Linked DNA regions of Macaca fascicularis. The protein of the gene in region 2 interacts with the protein of the main gene of each other region in a biochemical or structural test. Links are inferred from orthologs where the notes say so. Each region holds a gene or a part of one and is shown on either strand. Other genes may lie near its edges.

Region 1 (5,870 bases), on a different chromosome or scaffold from region 2:
CCCTGTCTCTACTAAAAATTAAAAATTAGCTGGGCATGGTGGCACATGCCTGTAATCCCACCTACTTGGGAGGCTGAGACAGGAGAATCACCTGAACCCAGGAGGTGGAGGTTGTGGTGATCACGCCATTGCACTGTAGCCTGGGCAACAAAAGCAAAACTTCGTCTCAAAAAAAAAAAAGAAAAAAAAAAAATCTATAACATAGGCTGGGCATGGTGGCTTATGCCTGCAATCCCAGCACTTTGGGAGGTGGAGGCAGGTGTATCACTTGAAGTCAGAAGTTCGAGAGTGTTGGCTAACATCGTGAAACCCCGTCTCTACTAAAAATACAATAATTAGCGAGGCGTGGTGGTACACACTTGTAGTCCCAGCTACTCAGGAGGCTGAGGCAGGAGAATTGCTTGAACCCGGGAGGCCAAGGTTGCAGTGAGTTGAGATCACGCTATTGCACTGCAGCCTGGGCAACAAGAGCGAGACTGGGTCTCAAAAAAAAAAAAAAGAACTACGTGCATACTGCCACAAAAATAATAAAATACCTTGGCTGGACACGGTGGCTCACGCCTGTAATGTTAGCACTCTGAGACGCTGAGGTGGGCGGATCACCTGAGGTCAGGTGTTTGAGATCAGCCTGACCAATATGATGAAACCGCATCTCTACTAAAAATACAGAAAAAAAATTACCTGGTCATGGTGGCAGGCGCTTGTAATCCCAGCTACTCGGGAGGCTGGGACAGGAGAATCCCTTGAACCCGGGAGGCGGAGGTTGCAGTGAGCCGAGATGGCACCATTGCACTCCAGCCTGGGCAACAAGAGCGAGACTCCATCTCAGAAAAACAAACAAAACAAACAAACAAAAAAAACAAACCTAGGAATACAACTAACCAGGGAGATGAAAGATCTCTACAATGAGAATTACAAAATACTGCTCAAATAAAGAAGATACAAACAAGTGGAAAAACATCCCACGCTCATGAATAGGAAGAATCAGTATCATTAAAATGGCCATACTGCCAGGCATGGTGGCTCACACCTGTAATTCAAGCACTTTGGGAGGCCGAGGTGGGCAGATCACTTGAGGCCAGGAGCTCAAGACCAGCCCGGCCAACATGGCCAAACCCCATCTTTGCTAAAAATACAAAAAATAAGCCAGGTATAATGGCAGGTGCCTGGAATCCTAGCTACTTGGAAGGCTGAGGCACAATAATCAGTTGAACCTGGGAGGCGGAGGTTGCAGTGAGCTGAGATCACACCACTGCACTCCAGCCTGGGCGACAGAGCAAGACTCTGTCTTATAAATAAATAAACAAACAAACAAACAAACAGACAAGCCATACTGCCCAAAGCAATTTACAGATTCACTGCTACTCCTATCAAACTACCAAGGACATTCTTCAAAGAACTAGGAAAAAACTATTTGAAAATTCATATGGAACCAACAAAGAGCCGGAAAAGTCAAGGCAATCCTAAGCTAAAAGAACAAAGCTGGAGGCAACTTTACCCAACTTCAAACTACTACTACAGGACTACAATAACCAAAACCACACGGTATTGGTACAAAAACAGGCACAGAAACCAATGGGACAGAATAGAGAGTCTAGAAATAAGGCTGCACACCTATGACCATCTGCTCTTGGACAAAACTGACAAAAGCAGTGAGGAGAAAGAGTCCCTATTCAATAACTGGTGCTGGCATAACTGGCTAGCCATATGCAGAAGATTGAAGATGGACCCCTTTCTTAAACCATACACAAAAATTAACTGAAGACGGATTAAAGACTTACTGTAAAACTCAAAACTATAAAAATCCTGGAAGATGGGCTGGGCACAGTAGCTCACACCTGTAATCCTAGCACTTTGGGAGGCTGAGGCGGGTGGATCACCTGAGGTCAGGAGTTTGAGACCAGCCTGACCAACATGGAGAAACCCTGTCTCTACTAAAAACACAAAATTAGCTAGGTATGGTGGCACATGCCTGTAATCCCAGCTACTCGGGAGGCTAAGGCAGGAGAATCGCTTGAACCCGGGAGGTGGAGGTTGCGGTGAGCTGAAGGTTGCAGTGAGCCAAGATTGTGCCATTGTACTCCAGCCTGGGCAGTAAGAACAACAACAACAAAAAAAAGTGGGCAAAGGAGCCAGGCGTGGTGGCTCAACACCTGTATTCCCTGAAGTTTGGGAGGCTGAGTCGGGTGGATCATCTGAGCTCAAGAGTTTGAAACCAGCCTGGCCAACATGATGAAATCCCGTCTCTACTAAAAATACAAAAAATTAGCTGGGCATGGTGGTGGACACCTGTAATTCCAGTTACTCAGGAGGCTGAGGCAGGAGAATCACTTGAACCCAGGAGGCGGAGGTTGCAGTGAGCTGAGATGGCACCACTGCACTCAATCTGGGCAAGAAGGGCAAAACTCCATCTCAAAAAGAAAAAAAAAAGTGGGCAAAGGACATGAACAGATATCAGATACTTTATTTTTATTTATTTATGTATTTATTTGAGAGGGAGTCTCACTCAGTCGCCCAGGCTGGAGTGCAGTGGCACCATCTCGGCTCACTGCAACCTCCACCTCTGGGGTTCAAACGATTCTCCCACCTCAGCCTCCGAAGTAGCTGGGACTGCAGGCGCCCACCACCGCGCCTGGCTAAATTTTGTATTTTTAGTAGAAACAGTGTTTCACCATGTTGGCCAGGCTAGTCAGGAACTCCTGACCTCAGGTGATACACCCACTTCGGCCTTCCAAAGTGCTGGGATTACAGAACTGAGCCACCGCGCCTGGCCACTTTTCAAAAGAAGACATACTATACGGCCAACAAGCATATGAAAAAGACCTCAGTATCACTGATCATTAGAGAAATGCAAATAAATCAAAACCACAATGAGATACCACCTAACACCAGTCAGAATGGCTATCCTAAAAAGTCAAAAAAGAAGCTGGCAAGGTTGCGAGAAAAGAGAACACTGGTATACCGTTGGTGCAAGTGTAAATTAGTTCAATCATTGAGAATCACTTGAACCCAAGAGGCGGAGGCTGCAGTGAGCCGGATTGGGCCACTGCACTCCAGTTCGGGCGACAGAGCGAGACCCTCTCAAAAAAAAATTATTCATCGTTTATCTGAAATTCAAATTTCACTGGGCATCCTGTATGTTACCTGGCAACGCTATGCTCCCCCAAAAAACTAAAAAGACGAAATCTCATAGGTGTCTGTCTCACCCAATTGGTGATTTGTGTTCGTCAACTATTCTGTATTACATTCAATGATTACAGGTAGAAGGAACTCTTGCAATCCTGCAAAAATTTATGTCCTCCCCATCTAATGTGACTCCTAATAGGTACTCAGCCCAAGCCTGAGACTGGCGAAGACAGCTACCTCACCGGATAAAGCCTTTGTGTCAGACAGCCCTGGGTTTAAATCTTGACTCCACCACTTAACTAGCTGTGTGATTTTGGACAAATCACTCAAAATCGCTGAGACTCGGTATCCTGAACCGTAAAACGGAGAGATAATCTACCTTAAGGTGTGGTTGTGAGGTTTAAGTGAGATAAACAAAATGACTGAGACATAAAAAGCAATCTGTAAATGGTACCTTTGAAGATGACACAGGGAAAGGTAATGAAGTTAGAGACGAGGGAATGGGGAGAGGAAGGGATTAATAATCTATTTTTCTAATAGACATTATTTTGCGAAGAAAGGAGGGCAGAAAACTATTACGATGAGTCCGAGAAGCAGAACTGTGGCTAAGGACAGACCCGGGCTGCTCTAGAGAAGACGGCGCTAGAACAGAGAAAGGCAGCAGGAATGACCGGTCAATGACCGTCCCCCTGGGGGTGAGAGGGGTAACCAGGGACTGTCTGCCACTCCACGGCCCCGGGATGACTCAGGGACTCCAGCGGGCTCCTAACCTCCGGGCCCAGGGCCGCCTCTCGCCCATGAGCTCCCGGCCCCCACCCCAGGCCCGCCCTGCCTTGGCGCCACACGCGCCCGGGACCCAGCTGTGCCCCTCCTGCCCCGAGGTAGCTCCTCACCACACCATAGTGCTTTCCAACACCATCTTGCCGCCTTCCTCCCTCCCGACCGGTTCTCCAGGACGGCCTAACAACAACTCCTCCAATTGGCCCATCGCTCTTCACCAATCACAGACCTCGGCTTGGCCAGCAGCTTCCGCCTCCGTCCCCCGTGTTGCGTTCTGGGAGTTGTAGGCGCCGCCAAACAAATGGGCTTCTTGTGGGTAGTTGAAGGGAATCGCGGTAACACAACAGGATCTAGCCTCTACTTTCCCTGCCATTGCAGTTCCCAGTTGGGGTTTCCCGCTGGCCGGATCTCAGAGGAGCTATGGAGGAACCTTTGAAAGTGCTGTGTCGGTTCCAGCTTCGTCATTTTAAAAAAAAGTGTCGGGATCGGCCGAGCGCGGTGGCTCACGCCTGTTATTCTAGCACTTTGGGAGGCCAAGGCCGGCGGATCACGAAGTCAGGAGTTCGAGACCAGCCTGACCAGCATGGTGAAACCCTGTATCTACTAAAAATACAAAAAATTAGCCGGGCATGGTGGCGCACGCCTGTAATCCCAGCTACTCGGGAGGCTGAGGCAGGAGAATTACTTGAACCCGGGAGACGGAGATTGCAATGAGCCGAGATTGCACCACTGCACTCAAGCGTGGGCAACAGAGTGAGACCCCATCTTAAAAAAAAAAAAAAAAAAAAAAAACTAGCCAGGCATAGTGGCGGGCGCCTGTAATCCCAGCTACTCTGGAGGCTGAGGAAGGAGAATCGCTTGAACCCGGGAGGCAGAGATTGCAGTGAGCACAGATCACGCCACTGCATTCCAACCTGGGGGACAGAGTGAGACTCCGTCTCAAAAAAAAAAAAAAAAAGTAGAGATCACTAATGACTTTCTACAGCCTTCAGTTCCCTGTAGAATTTTAATTCAACAAGCCCTTATACCTTTGAATTGAATTTATTTGTATATTTATCTCCTCCCCCATTTAACTAAGGGTAGGCAACGTGTCTTTTTTTTTTTTTTGAGATGAAGGAGTCTCACTCTGTCACCCAGGCTAGAGTGCAGTGTCTCGATCTAGGCTCACTGCAACCTCTGCCTCCTGGGTTCCAGCAATTCTCCCGCCTCAGCCTCCCAGGTAGCTGGGACTACAGGGGCGTGACACCATGACCGGCTAATTTTGTATTTTTAGTAGAGACAGGGTTTCACCATGTTGGCCAGGCTGGTTTCGATCTCTTGACGTCAGTTGATCCACCCGCCTCAGCTTCCCAAAGTGCTGGGATTACAGGCGTGAGCCACCACACCTGGCCAGCAATGTGTCTTAATCTTTACAATTCCCTAAGCCCAGTAGAGAGCCCAGAAAAGATTTGACAACTCAATTATATTAACTAATCTCCCAAAGAACAAACCACTAAACCATTTTGGTTTGTTAATCAAAAATTACATTTAAGGCCTGATGCAATGGCTTAGGTTTTATAATCCCAGCGTTTTGGGAGGCCCAGGCAGGAGGATCAACTCAGGCTAGGAGTTTGAGAACAGCCTGGATAACACAGCCAGACTCCGTCTCTACAAAATTTTATTGTTTGAGACAGGGTGTTGCCCTTTCGCCCAGACTGGAGTGCAGTGGCCTGATCTCGGCTCACTGCAATCTCCACCTCCAGGGTTCAAGCAATCCTCCTGCCTCAGCCTCCTGAGTAGCTGGGGCTATAGGTGCATGCCACCAAGCCCGGCTCATTTGTTTTTAATTTTTTGATGTGAGAGGATGAATTGAGTGCAGGAGTTCGAGACCAGCATAGGCAATATAGTGAGACCCCATCTCTGAAAAAAAAAAAGTCTCAAAGTGTTGGGATTACAGGTGTGAGCCATCACATCAGCTGGATATT
Region 2 (5,831 bases):
CAAAATGAGTTCCAGATAATAATGTTATGTAATTCTGTGATGGTATTAAAAATATATGCCTGAAAAATTAGATAACATCCTTATGTGAATAAAATATTAGTAAACAAAAATAAGGTTGTCAATTCCTAGTAAAAAGTGGGTACCTGCTCACCACTAATGCTTTTGGTTATGCCAAAAGTTTATATGGTCATGCCTGACAATTCAGAATCTTATTTACCAAGGAGATTTATAATGCTGCCAATTATTGATGTCTTAAAAGAAAAATACCTTTAATGCCAAACCAACTTTTTTATTTTCATCTGTATATGGAGGTTTCCAAAGCTGAATCCTGTCTTCCCTTAAAAACTGGGTCAATTTTGCTTGAAGGTATTTCTTTTGTGCCATCCCTGAAAGCAAAACAATATAATAATAAAACTCCACACTGCATTTTAAAGTGTTAGTAACTTACCTACATGTTAAGGTGTTTTGTTGGGTAAGCAAAGCTCCCTTCTTCTCTCATTAAATATAAATTACTATGGTTTAAACAAGCTCCAGACTTCTCTAAAAATATACATGGAAATATATGTTCAATTATATATATTACATACATAAAACATGTATTTCAAAGTCACCAATATGTAGCAAGGATTATTACACGTTTGCTATTTCTTAATCCGCTATTCTCTTATCTAAGAGAAAAGAGAAAATACAAGAAAGATAAATCCCTCGAGTGGTGAACTTTTTTCTTTTTTTTTGAGACAGAGTCTCGCTCTGTTGCCCAGACTCGAGTGCAGTGGTGTGATGTCGGCTCACTGCAACCTCTGTCCCCTGGGTTCAAGCCATTCTCCTGCATCAGCCTCCCTAGTCACTGGGATTACAGGTGTGCACTACCACGCCTACCCAGCTAATTTTCATATTTTTAGTAGAGATGGGATTTCGCCATGTTGGCCAGGCTGGTCTCAAATTCCTGACCTCAAGTGATCCACCACCTTGGTCTCTCAAAATGCTGGGATTACAGGTGTGAGCTTGTAAATTCTCTCATACTTTGGCTAGTTTCACATAAAACAAAAGGCCAATCATCCTGGTAGTTAAATATAAAGAAAAGCTTGCTTGAACTGTAAACTATCAATAATAAATATTTTCAGGTGGGCGTGGTAGCTCAGACCTGTAATCCCAGCACTTTGGGAGGCTGAGTTCAGGAGTTGAGATCAGGAGCTCGAGATCAGCCTGGCCAACATGGTGAAATCCCATCTCTACTAAAACAAACAAACAAACAAACAAAAAATGAACAATTAGCCGGGCGTGGTGGCAGGCACCTGTAAACCCAGCTACTCAGGAGGCTGAGGCAGGAGAATCGCTTGAATCCAGGAGGCAGAGGTTGTAGTGAGCCGAGATGGCACCACTGCACTCCAGCCTGGGCAACAGAGTGAGACTCCGTCTCAAAATAATAATAAATATATAAATATTTTCTATGTCAGAATTTTTTAAATTAAAAAGATTACAATACTAGAAAAATGTTGCATATTTTCTGATTAACAGCCTAACAGCACATCTACTATTCAAATCTAACACTGATTGGATCATTTTACAGCTGAGAAAACCAGGGCCCTGAGTTTGTGCCATGACTCAGGCAAAGACACAAAATCAGGCAGCATCAAATTGAGCGTAACTTCCACCCACAATACTGGACTCTGAACTTCTGTCGTGGAGTCCCTTGCTGCTTGCCTGTTTCAGGTATGTAACTTTTCTCTCCCAGAGAAGTACATGCCACGATGGAGCTGTCTACTTATCCCACACTAGCACAGCACTTCAAAGATGCATGTGAGGCAGCTGAGATGTGAGGCAGCTGGCAGGGGTAGCACAGCGCTTTAAGGTTTACCAAATCACACAAGCAATAAGTAAAGAAAATGTTATTAGTCCCTGAATGATGAAGACAATTCTAGAGAGTGGAAAAAATATGAGTTAATATTATTGAGATAAATTTCTTTTTTTCTATTGAGGGCCAGTATTCCACATCCCCCCAAACCCAATTCACGCAACTTTGAAATCAAGTTTGGTAGCTTGTGTATTTCATAAACAAATATTTGTTTAAAGAAAGTTCAAATCTATTTGATGTCAGTGCAGGGGACAAGAATTATGTTAATCAGGACAGAGAGGAGAAAAGAGAGGAAGGAATAACACAGCCAAGGAAGTTGATGTGTGCAACCTGGGTGGCCCATGGGAGAATCCTCCATTTTCAAGCACTGACAAACAGCTTATCACAGCAAAGCATATTAGTACTTAAAGCGTTAGCTTTTCAAACACCAATAACTTAAAAGACTACTTTACATACTACTCATGAATCTTCAGAAATTCTGAATAAAATATCACAGCAACCCTACTGTTTCCCCACTGGGGGACAGTAATTTCACAGGTTGGTTACTGGAGCCAAGCAATTTGAAAGGCTGATGCGGTACTCAAAGACGCCATCCACGGCCAGGTGCAGTGGCTCACGCCTGTAATCCCAGCACTTGGGAGGCCGAGGCCAGCGGATCACCTGAGGTCAGGAGTTCAAGACCAGCCTGCTCAACATGGTGAAACCCCGTCTCTACTAAAAAAATAAACAAATAAAAATTTTTAAAAAGATGCCATCCAAGCCACCACTTGACAGAAGGACAAAGGAGTATTACAAACCTAGTGCGTGTCAGACACTCCAGGGAGCAAACAACAGGTCCAGGGTCTACACCTAATAGGATTTAATGTTAAAAAAAATTAAACCACTATCTTGAAACTTAGGAAACTTCAGTTACAGACAACAGAGTAAGTGGTGACATATTTTAAGTTTAATAAGTCAGCTTTTAATTTTAACTGAAATGAGAACTGAAAAAGTTTCATGCATGCCATACAATGTTTCACATTGTAACCAAGAAAAGACGAAACTCATTAAAACCACTCCCTGCTCCAAACAGAAAGTGAAACGTTATAACGATCCTTTAAAAATTTCACTTTCACTTTTGTAATGAATCAATCAATGCTACCTTTAGCCACAGTTTTTCAACTATACATTATATACAGTTGAAGCACAACTATATCTAGTCAAGACACATTCATTTTTTCTTACGAAAATATGTAGGAAAATGAAAGATTCTTGATTAAAAATAAAAGGGAAGGAGGTGAGAGTAATAGAATCAGGTCGTCAAGGTTCGAGAAAATCAAGTGTCTCGTCATTAAATAGCAAAGAAAATCTGGCTTTGATTGCAAATAAATCCCAAATGGTATACTCGGAGTAAGTGTTACGATTCAAGTATAGCATTTGGCTAATTTTTTATAGATATATTTATTCCTTTCTCTCCCCAAATCAATACACTCAACATTTTCTTTTAAATACCCCACACCTGTGCCTAACTCAGCGCAAACCAAAGGGCCCCGAAGGGCCAGCGCGTCCCGAAGCCCGACCCGCCGCTCCCGGCCCCGGCCCAGCTTCACGCATGGCCGCTGACCCCAGCCCCGCGGCCGCTCCACCCCCGTCAGGAGAGGTGCCCAGTCGGACCGGGAACCGGGGCGCCGAGCAGCGCTGCTGAGACTGGGGTCGGGGACACTCGGCCGCCGGGTCCTCACCTGCGCCACGCCGCGCCCGCTGCGACCAACAGAGTGCCCGGATGCGCCGGCGGCCGCCGTTTGTTTTCATTCCGGGTGAGGCCAGCCCCGCCCCCGCCACCGCTGCTGCCGCCGCCGCCGCCGCCGCCGCCGCCGTAGCCGCCGCTTGGAAGGAGGGTTGTGGGCGGGGCCAAGGCGAAGCCAGTCGTGGGCGGGGATACGGTCGTGTGGGCGTGGTTACCGCGGGGCGGAGCCGCGACGGGGGAGCTAAATGGAGGCGGGGCTGGGCGAGAATGTGGCCGTGTGGGGCGAGGACCTGGGAGTTGGTGTCCGACGCCGCCCCAGGCTCAGGCTTCCAGGACCTCCCGCCCGGGCCCAGTTTGCCAGCCATCAAGAGGAAATGGATCCTGGCTTTGTTTCTCCAAAATCCTTGAAAGAGGCTGGGGGAAGGGTCGGGACCGTCCCAACCCACATCTCATCCCTCAGCCTAGGCTGGACCCCCTCCCTAAACCAGCGGCTTTTCACCCCGCCCTCCACAATCCCACGAGGGGCTTCCCTGGGGTGAAATTAGGCTGCTTCCCGGGAATTTCCTCCCCCATGCTGTCCACGGCCACTAGGGACTACAAAACCTAGGGAGCTCTGCCTGCTTTCAAGGCCCCATTCCCAAGGCTGTGCTCAACAGTGACGCTTCTATTTTATTATCAGTTATTGCTGTTAATCTCTTACTGTGCCTAACAAATTAAACTTTATCGCAGGTATGTATGCATGTATAGGAAAAATGCAGTGTGTGTGTGTATATATATATTTGTGTGTGTGTATATGTATATGTGTGTATATATATAGTGTGTGTGTGTATATATCTATACATGGGTGCAGTACTATCCGAGGTTTCAGGCATCTACTGTGGGTCTTGGGACATACCACCTGTGTGTGGGTAAGAGGGGACTGCTGTAACCTTGCAGTGACCAATCCGCTTTTCGTTCCCTGTTTCTGCTTTCTTTAGGCCTTTTCTACCTATAAAACCCACCTCCTCTGCCCAGCTCATTGGAGTACCGTTTCTAAATTTTTAGAGAAGATGCCATCCTGATTCGTGAATCAATAAAAGCCAATAGATCTTTAATCTAAATCTGTGGAAATTTTGACTTCTGACAAAGAGGTATTAAATAACTGTATAACCGCATCAGACCAATCTGATTCACCTTTTATATACCCAAGTTGTGAGTTGTTTTTCAGTTGCATGGACTCCCAGAAGGAAGGTTTCACACGTAAGCTGAGGATGCCCAGATGAGCCGAGCATGCAACCGGGGCGGAACCTGAGTGCTCAAATCAAAGCAGGGACTGAATTAAGAGATGGGCACTGCATGGTGAGATCCAGAATGCAATCAGATCAAGCCCTGGCATCACCCCATGGCAGGGTCCAGTCAGATGAGCATCCCAGCATCACCTCATCGCAAAATCTAATCAGATCATGTGTCATTACCGTATGCTTATAAAACCCAGCTCAAGGAGACAGAGTTGAGGGTTTCCTCATGTCTCCTTGACAGTCAACTCACGACAAAGCCTTTCTTTTCTCAAAAACCAGTGCCATGGTGTTGGCTTCTGGCACATCAGGAAGCAAGCCCGTTGATTGCTCAGTAGCAATTGCAGCAAGGTAGAAGGACAACAGAATCTGTTCTGACATTTTTTTCTGAGGGCTTTCTCTGAAATGAGTAACAAAGATAGTTTCACTTTTACAGTTACATAGTAGACCATCAGGAAATTGAATGTCCACGGTCAGGTGTGGTAGAGAAGCTTGCGGTAGACCAAGACTCCAGCTAACAACTAGAAAAGCCAGAAAGCAAAGTCAGAAAACATCTGTTTGAAGGCAGTGGAAGCTGCTGAGGTAAGAATGGGCGGACTTGATATTCCAGAGAATGAGGAACCTTCAAGTGAGCTAATGTCCACAGTGGCTTGTATTGATGTGTGACGGATTTTGCCAATTCTGGATACAAGGATGAGGCTGAGAATTTAGACTTTGAGACCACAGAAGGCCACTGCTGGGGACAGAAAAACAACACAGCTTTTGCAGAGACATAGGGGGAAATTCCAAGGACAATTGCTACATTCAAGGCTTGTATGGGGCAAGAAACTGAAATATAAATGGAAGGCCTCTGAAAGCAGAAGTTTTTGATAGACTGCAAAACAAAGATTCGAGTCTGAGATCTGCTAGGGTGGTGGTGGAAGTGGGTTGCTGCAGAGCCTACACCATGTTCCCAGTTGCAAACTGGAGGGCAAAG
Region 3 (6,108 bases), on a different chromosome or scaffold from region 2:
TGCACTCCAGCCTGGGCGACAGAGCGAGACTCCATCTCAAAAAAAAAAAAAAAAAAAAAAAAATTATAGACAAGCAGACGATGCTGTTGTTGAAGAAACACGCTCTGGGAGGCATTTGAAGGAAGCGTAGAGGACAGAAGATGGGCACATAACCCAGGATGGGGAAGAAGAGAGTTAGGGAAGGCTTTTTGACGAAGATGCTGTTTACACCGTGTGTTCTTATACATTCATGGCGGTGGGGATAGAGTTGGAGGAAAAGGCATGCTCAGTGGCATGGAGATGGCAGAGAGATTGGGGTGTTCAAGGATATGCAGGAAATTCAAGGAACGAGAATCCCCATAGACACAGACACAGCTAGACATATAGATCTGCGCTTAGGTTGGGACTGTGGGTATAGATCTGGGTGGCTTCAACAGACAAAGATCTTTCCTGAGAAATGTCATCCTGGCTTCTCCTCCTGGAGCCAGCCTCTGGCCAAGGTTCCTTGTTGCTCCTGATACTTGGTGCAGACATTGGGACCAAGATAGTGTAGGTACTGAGGTAGAAGGAAAGTGGGAAAGGGTATGAGAAGAGAGTGACCTAATTTTAAGCAGCTTTTAACCATCTTCTCTTCCTCTTGTCTCCCTGGAAATAACATGAAGATCTAAGAAAGTGGTGAGTGCAAACAAAGTTTGAAAAGCGAGAGCAGTTTACTGAAGTCTGGGTTTGTACAGCTTTTCCTTTCTCTTTTTCCAGGTACTTCCCCCACCCCTGCCATCCCGCAGGGCTTTCTGTTTCCTGATCACCCTGAACCTGATCTGACATTGGCCACTGGTAATGTTTCAGAATCTCCAAATCCCACTGGACAACGGATGAGGGGCAGCCCTTATCTGCTGTGTAGCAGCCAAAGGTCAGAACATTAGTTTCTAGACACAAAGGGGGTCACAGGGACCTGGAGAAAGATCTGAAAGGAGAATAGCAGAGGCCAGTGGTTCCTAATGTATTCCATTAGGCACTCTTCTGCTTTTTAATTATCCTGCCTGTGTATTAAAAATTATGTCTACTCCACAAAATACATTTAAATAATAATTAATGTTTTCAATTTTATTAGCTATCTAATAAAAGCTTCATATAGAAGAACATGATTTATAGTAAGCTTTTGAAGTAGAGAAATGAGCTGTTGCATTTCATTACTCTACATCAATCCAGTACTTCTGTAAATTCGATTCTCCAGGACAGAACCTCCTAGAATAAGATGGGGTCATTTGCGATCTGTCAGTGAGTGAAGGTACAGTAAATGCCTCTGCAAACAGAGATGATAACTTGGCATTTTAAAGAGCTTCCTACTTTGAAAAGATTTGAAGCACTTGAAAACATACTTTTAGGCTGGACACGGTGTCTCACATCTGTAATCCCAGCACTTTGGGAGGCCAAGGCGGGCAGGTTGCCTGAGATCAGGAGTTCGAGACCAGCTTGGACAGCATGGTGAAACCATGTCTCTACTAAAAATACAAAAATTAGCAGGTGCCTATTATCCCAGCTACTCGGGAAGCTGAGGCAGGAGAATCACTTGAAGTCTGGAGGCGGAGCTTGCAGTGAGCTGAGATCGCACCATTGCACTCCAGCCTGGGCAACAAAGTGAGACTCCATTTCAAAAAAAAAAAAAGCTTTTAAAAACTGGTTCCATAGCAATGCCCTGAGAGTTTGGGAGGGGGCAGTAGTTAATTTGGGATACGAGGAGGATCAGAGTGATGGAGTAAACTTCCCGGGGACAGGCACACCTTTCTTGTCTCCATCTAAGTCTCAAGGGCGAGGGAGAGAGCGGCACCTTTAGGTTTGTCTGAGATCACAGTGGTGAGGTGCATCCAGGAGTAAAGGTAGAGAAATAGAGGCCCCGCAGTGTGAGAGTGGATGTTGATTGCTTTGTGTGTTGAAGTGAGGAGTCAGCATTTAATTGTTGGCTTAGGATTGTTCTCAAGTAGTGGATTTGGTTTGCAGGTTCTGGGACAGGGTAGGACGTATGTTGGAGAGCTCAAGACCCAGAAATCCAATGTTATTTTGCAAAGGGAATTTTACAAGCAAAGTTTTCTGAGCCTGGAAGACACTTAGGAATCTTTTCCAGTCATCTCATTTTATAGACTGGGAAACCAACATCTAAGGAGATGAATGGATTTGCCCAAGGTAATGTAGCAAGTGGCCCTCCTGGGACTCTAACTCGTATCTCCTCTCAGTCTGAGGTTATTTCTCCTATGTCTTCTTAAGGCATGTTTTACACCTTCTGCCAGACTAGCCATGTCAGGCTCACAGTCACAGCACTCCACACAATGCTGACTGCCGTATCCTGCCTGGGTGCTCTCGTTCTTAGGACGGCCCCTGAGTAATGGGGTGCTCTTAAAGGCAGCATGAGAGGTTCAGCAAGCATTACAGGTCTTCATGCCAGTGAGGGCCCAGGCCACAGGACGGACAGTAATAAGTCAGGACTGGGAGAGGAGAGGTGGATTTTTAATCAGGGAAAAGTTTTCAACACAGAAAGACCATCCCGTTTGGAATGAGGATTGCAAATAGATTGCCTGAGGGGAGAAGTACGTAATCAGAAAGCATTCTTTGTTTATTAACTCCTGCCCAGCAAAAGTGAAAGAAAATTCATGGGAGCATGCAAGAACAAAGGGCACAGCAAAGCTGGACAAACACAGCAATCCAGGAGGGGATTTCCAATTCAACGCTGGTATATAAGCTGGAGTTAAAATCCTTTTTCTGTCTCTGGTTTCTGGCCCCTTGACTGCAAAGATGGCTCCCAATGCTTCCTGCCTCTCTGTAAGTTGGGATTTGATAAAGGGGATGGGGAAAGGAAAAGCACTTTCAAGAGTTGGGGAGAGATCTTAGAAACGGGGGATGGACAGTACTCAGGGCTCTGGGTGGCTGGGCAGGCATCCTTAAGGGGAAGAGGCTGGCATCGACATTTGCAGAATGGGAAGAGGAATTGTCTGAAGAGAAGCTGGTTATCTGGCTTCTGTGTTCTTTTTTTAATCAAACATTGGACTAGCTACTCTTAGGGATAAATGGTAGAAAAAAAAAGTGGGGGTGAGCTTTGTGTTCCACAGGGCTGGTGAGATTTGAAATTATGGAAACATTTTTTAGGGTTCTTAAACTTAATCTTCTCTTTCCTCTCAAAGGAGAGCTTCACAAAACTCATTTATCTGAAGTTGTTAATGATCTAACACATTACATTATATAAGAAAGTATGCACTATGGAGAGAACCTGGAATTAAGGCAATGCTTAACACAGATCCTCCAGTGAAGAAATGTCTGCAATATCTAGATTGGGAAAATATTTCTGAATGGAGTATGAGGGAGGTCTTCTCAGGCTTTCAAGTGGCCATTAGGAGTGAGTTTTCCAGTCTTTTAGGGTTTTCCAGCTATTGAAGTAAGACTTAGACATAGTCCCTACCTTCTGTGAGTGAGGCCCTGGTCTAATCAAAGGAGATCGTATTCTATATTAGATAGATATAAAAATACAAGAAATATAAATTAACAAGAAACACTGAACATAGTGTCACTGTAATATGTAAGTTATTATTGTAAAGCAGTGGGAGATTTGAAAAAAAAATAACAGTTCAGTGATTATGTGCCCTACCCAGGATTTCCTTCTGAAGTATTGACAGAGGGTATCCTATTGCTGTATCTTATGAGGCTGTCATATTTTAGAAATTCTCTTTGACAGTTGTTTTTAGAGTCTGGTGTACATCTTTTGAAGCTCTGTATTTACTTTTTTGACATTTGACAAACTTTATCTGGATAGGAGAGGCAGGTAAATAAGGTGGAAAACCTTTAATTACATCTCGAGATGAATAAAGGTATGTTTTTTACATCTATTGAAATGCACAGAAAAGCGAAATAAAAAATTGTCAACTAAAAAAAATCACACAATTTATAAATTTAGAAAGGAGACTTCATTTCTTATGAAGGGTTATAGTCTGCAAGGTAGCCATTCTGACAAGCTGAGAAGCTCGGCTTCTGGTTGAAAACCAAAAGCAAGCTTTGTAGGAGGAAAGTGACACAGGAATTTATGCTGAAGGGGTTTGCTAAGTATACATATCCAATAGGTTATGGCAGAGGCAATGAATATTCATGAAGGGAGTCCTAATGCATGCATGTTGAATGAGCTTGCATGTTATATACCACCCATGGTCACTCTGAGGTGGAGACTTAACATTTAATTGCATTACAGTTAGGCCTTATACATGAAAAGGTGAAGCAGGGACACAAAGGCATTCAAATGTGCAGCTTCTGTAGACTAGCCAGAACCAGTCCATGGTCAGTGGTCTCTTATCAGGAGAAAATTACTGAAATCAGTCATTTGTCCAATTAAAACTGTAGTTATGGCTTGAGGAACAGGGGGTCAGTTAGCCTGTGGATGAACTGTAATTGTTTTAATATTGTTCCTCTCGAGGCCAGTGCTTGTTTAGCTGCTACAGAAAAAAGAAAAATATTTTGTGGCAGTTAGAACATAGTTTATTCTTTAAGTGTAGGGATGCATGACTTAACTCTTGCCTATTATAGCCTTAGGTCTTGTTTAAAATTTGCTACAAAAATCTTATTGCCACCAATAATCCATTCTTTCAGTCTTATAATCTCTAACGTTGCTAGTCAGTTGTGTCTAAACTGCAAAAGGGAGAAGATATAATGAGGCATGTCCAGCCTCCTGTTTCATCATGACTGAGGTATTTTATTTATTTATCTTTTTGAGACAGAGTCTCACTCTGTTGCCCCAGCTGGAGTGCAGTGGTGCCATCTCCACTTACTGCAACCTCTGCCGTCTGGGTTCAAATGATTCTCATGCCTCAGCCTCCTGAGTAGCTGGGATTACAGGGACTCACCACCACGCCTGGTTAATTTTTGTATTTTTAGTAGAGATGAGGTTTCACCAAGTTGGCCAGGCTGGTCTCGAACTCCCAGCCTCAAGTGATCAGCTTGCCTCAGCTTCCCAAAGTTCTTGGATTACAGGTATAAGCCACTGCCCTTGGCCCAATGACTAAGTTCTTAAAATTTCTCTAGGGTCCCCCTGAGCAAGAGAGGGTCCGTTCAATTGGTTGGGGGCTCAGGATTTTATTTTTCATTCTCAAGATTGAAAAAAAGGTGTGATTATAAAGGAATGGGACAAATTTTCTTATTTGTGTTGCAACTTGGTAATTCCAAAGGAGAAGTTCCAAGAAAGAGAGGGACACTGGCTACTGAACAGGAGCTAGGAGACCAGATAGATAGCGGAAGGGTGGGAGCCATTGTGGTGGGGAGCAGAAATGTAAAGTGAGGCAGGCATCCTAGGCAACTGTCTTGTGGCTTTCACTTCCCAGGTGCATGTTCTTTCTGAGGAATGGGATTTAATGACCTTTGATGCCAACCCAGAGGACAGCGTGAAAAAAATCAGTGAACACGTCCGGTCTAAGACCAAGGTTCCTGTGCAGGACCAGGTTCTTTTGCTGGGCTCCAAGATCCTAAAGCCACGGAGAAGGCTCTCATCTTATGGCATTGACAAGGAGAAGACCATCCACCTTACCCTGAAAGTGGTGAAGCCCAGTGATGAGGAGCTGCCCTTGTATCTTGTGGAGTCAGGTGATGAGGGGCAGAGGCACCTCCTCCAGGTGCGAAGGTCCAGCTCAGTGGCACAAGTGAAAGCAATGATCGAGACCAAGACGGGTGTAACCCCTGAGACCCAGATTGTGAATTGCAATGGAAAGAGACTGGAAGATGGGAAGATGATGGCAGATTATGGAATCAGAAAGGGCAACTTACTCTTCCTGACATCTTATTGTATTGCAGGGTGACCACCCTGGGGATGGGGTGTTGGCAAGGGCCAAAAAGCTTATTTCTTTTAATCTCTTAATCAACGTGAGAATGAGATGAGTAGAGTAAGATTTGGGTGGGATGGGTAGGATGAAGAATATTGTCCAACTCTGTTTCTTTGATTCTAACACAATTAATTAAGTGGCAGGATTTTTAATAATGTATTACTGAGACTAGTAAATAAAATTTTAAGGCAAAATAGAGCATTCAAAGCCAGCTTGCAATTTAATTCTTTCTTGATACCTTGTTATTTATGGAAAAACTCCTATCTCCTTTCCTTTTTGACAA

The links.
Region 1: the proteins of NUB1 (region 2) and PSMD4 form a complex in vitro, tested with the Homo sapiens proteins (2 studies listed by BioGRID). The link is inferred for Macaca fascicularis from reciprocal best matches to the Homo sapiens genes NUB1 and PSMD4.
Region 3: the proteins of NUB1 (region 2) and UBD form a complex in vitro, tested with the Homo sapiens proteins (6 studies listed by BioGRID, with this or other methods). The link is inferred for Macaca fascicularis from reciprocal best matches to the Homo sapiens genes NUB1 and UBD.

Annotation. Positions count from the first base shown.
Region 1 is NC_088375.1:109,958,424-109,964,293, forward strand, and holds the start of PSMD4 (26S proteasome non-ATPase regulatory subunit 4), read right to left. Parts: upstream 4,084-5,870; 5' UTR 4,046-4,083; coding exon 4,020-4,045; intron 1-4,019. UniProt on the Homo sapiens protein: Component of the 26S proteasome, a multiprotein complex involved in the ATP-dependent degradation of ubiquitinated proteins.
Region 2 is NC_088377.1:192,622,026-192,627,856, reverse strand, and holds the start of NUB1 (NEDD8 ultimate buster 1), read right to left. Parts: upstream 3,612-5,831; 5' UTR 3,354-3,611; intron 2,705-3,353; 5' UTR 2,653-2,704; intron 387-2,652; 5' UTR 385-386; coding exon 268-384; intron 1-267. UniProt on the Homo sapiens protein: Specific down-regulator of the NEDD8 conjugation system. Recruits NEDD8, UBD, and their conjugates to the proteasome for degradation. Isoform 1 promotes the degradation of NEDD8 more efficiently than isoform 2.
Region 3 is NC_088378.1:143,644,256-143,650,363, forward strand, and holds UBD (ubiquitin D), read left to right. Parts: upstream 1-2,735; 5' UTR 2,736-2,766; coding exon 2,767-2,793; intron 2,794-5,330; coding exon 5,331-5,801; 3' UTR 5,802-6,032; downstream 6,033-6,108. UniProt on the Homo sapiens protein: Ubiquitin-like protein modifier which can be covalently attached to target proteins and subsequently leads to their degradation by the 26S proteasome, in a NUB1-dependent manner.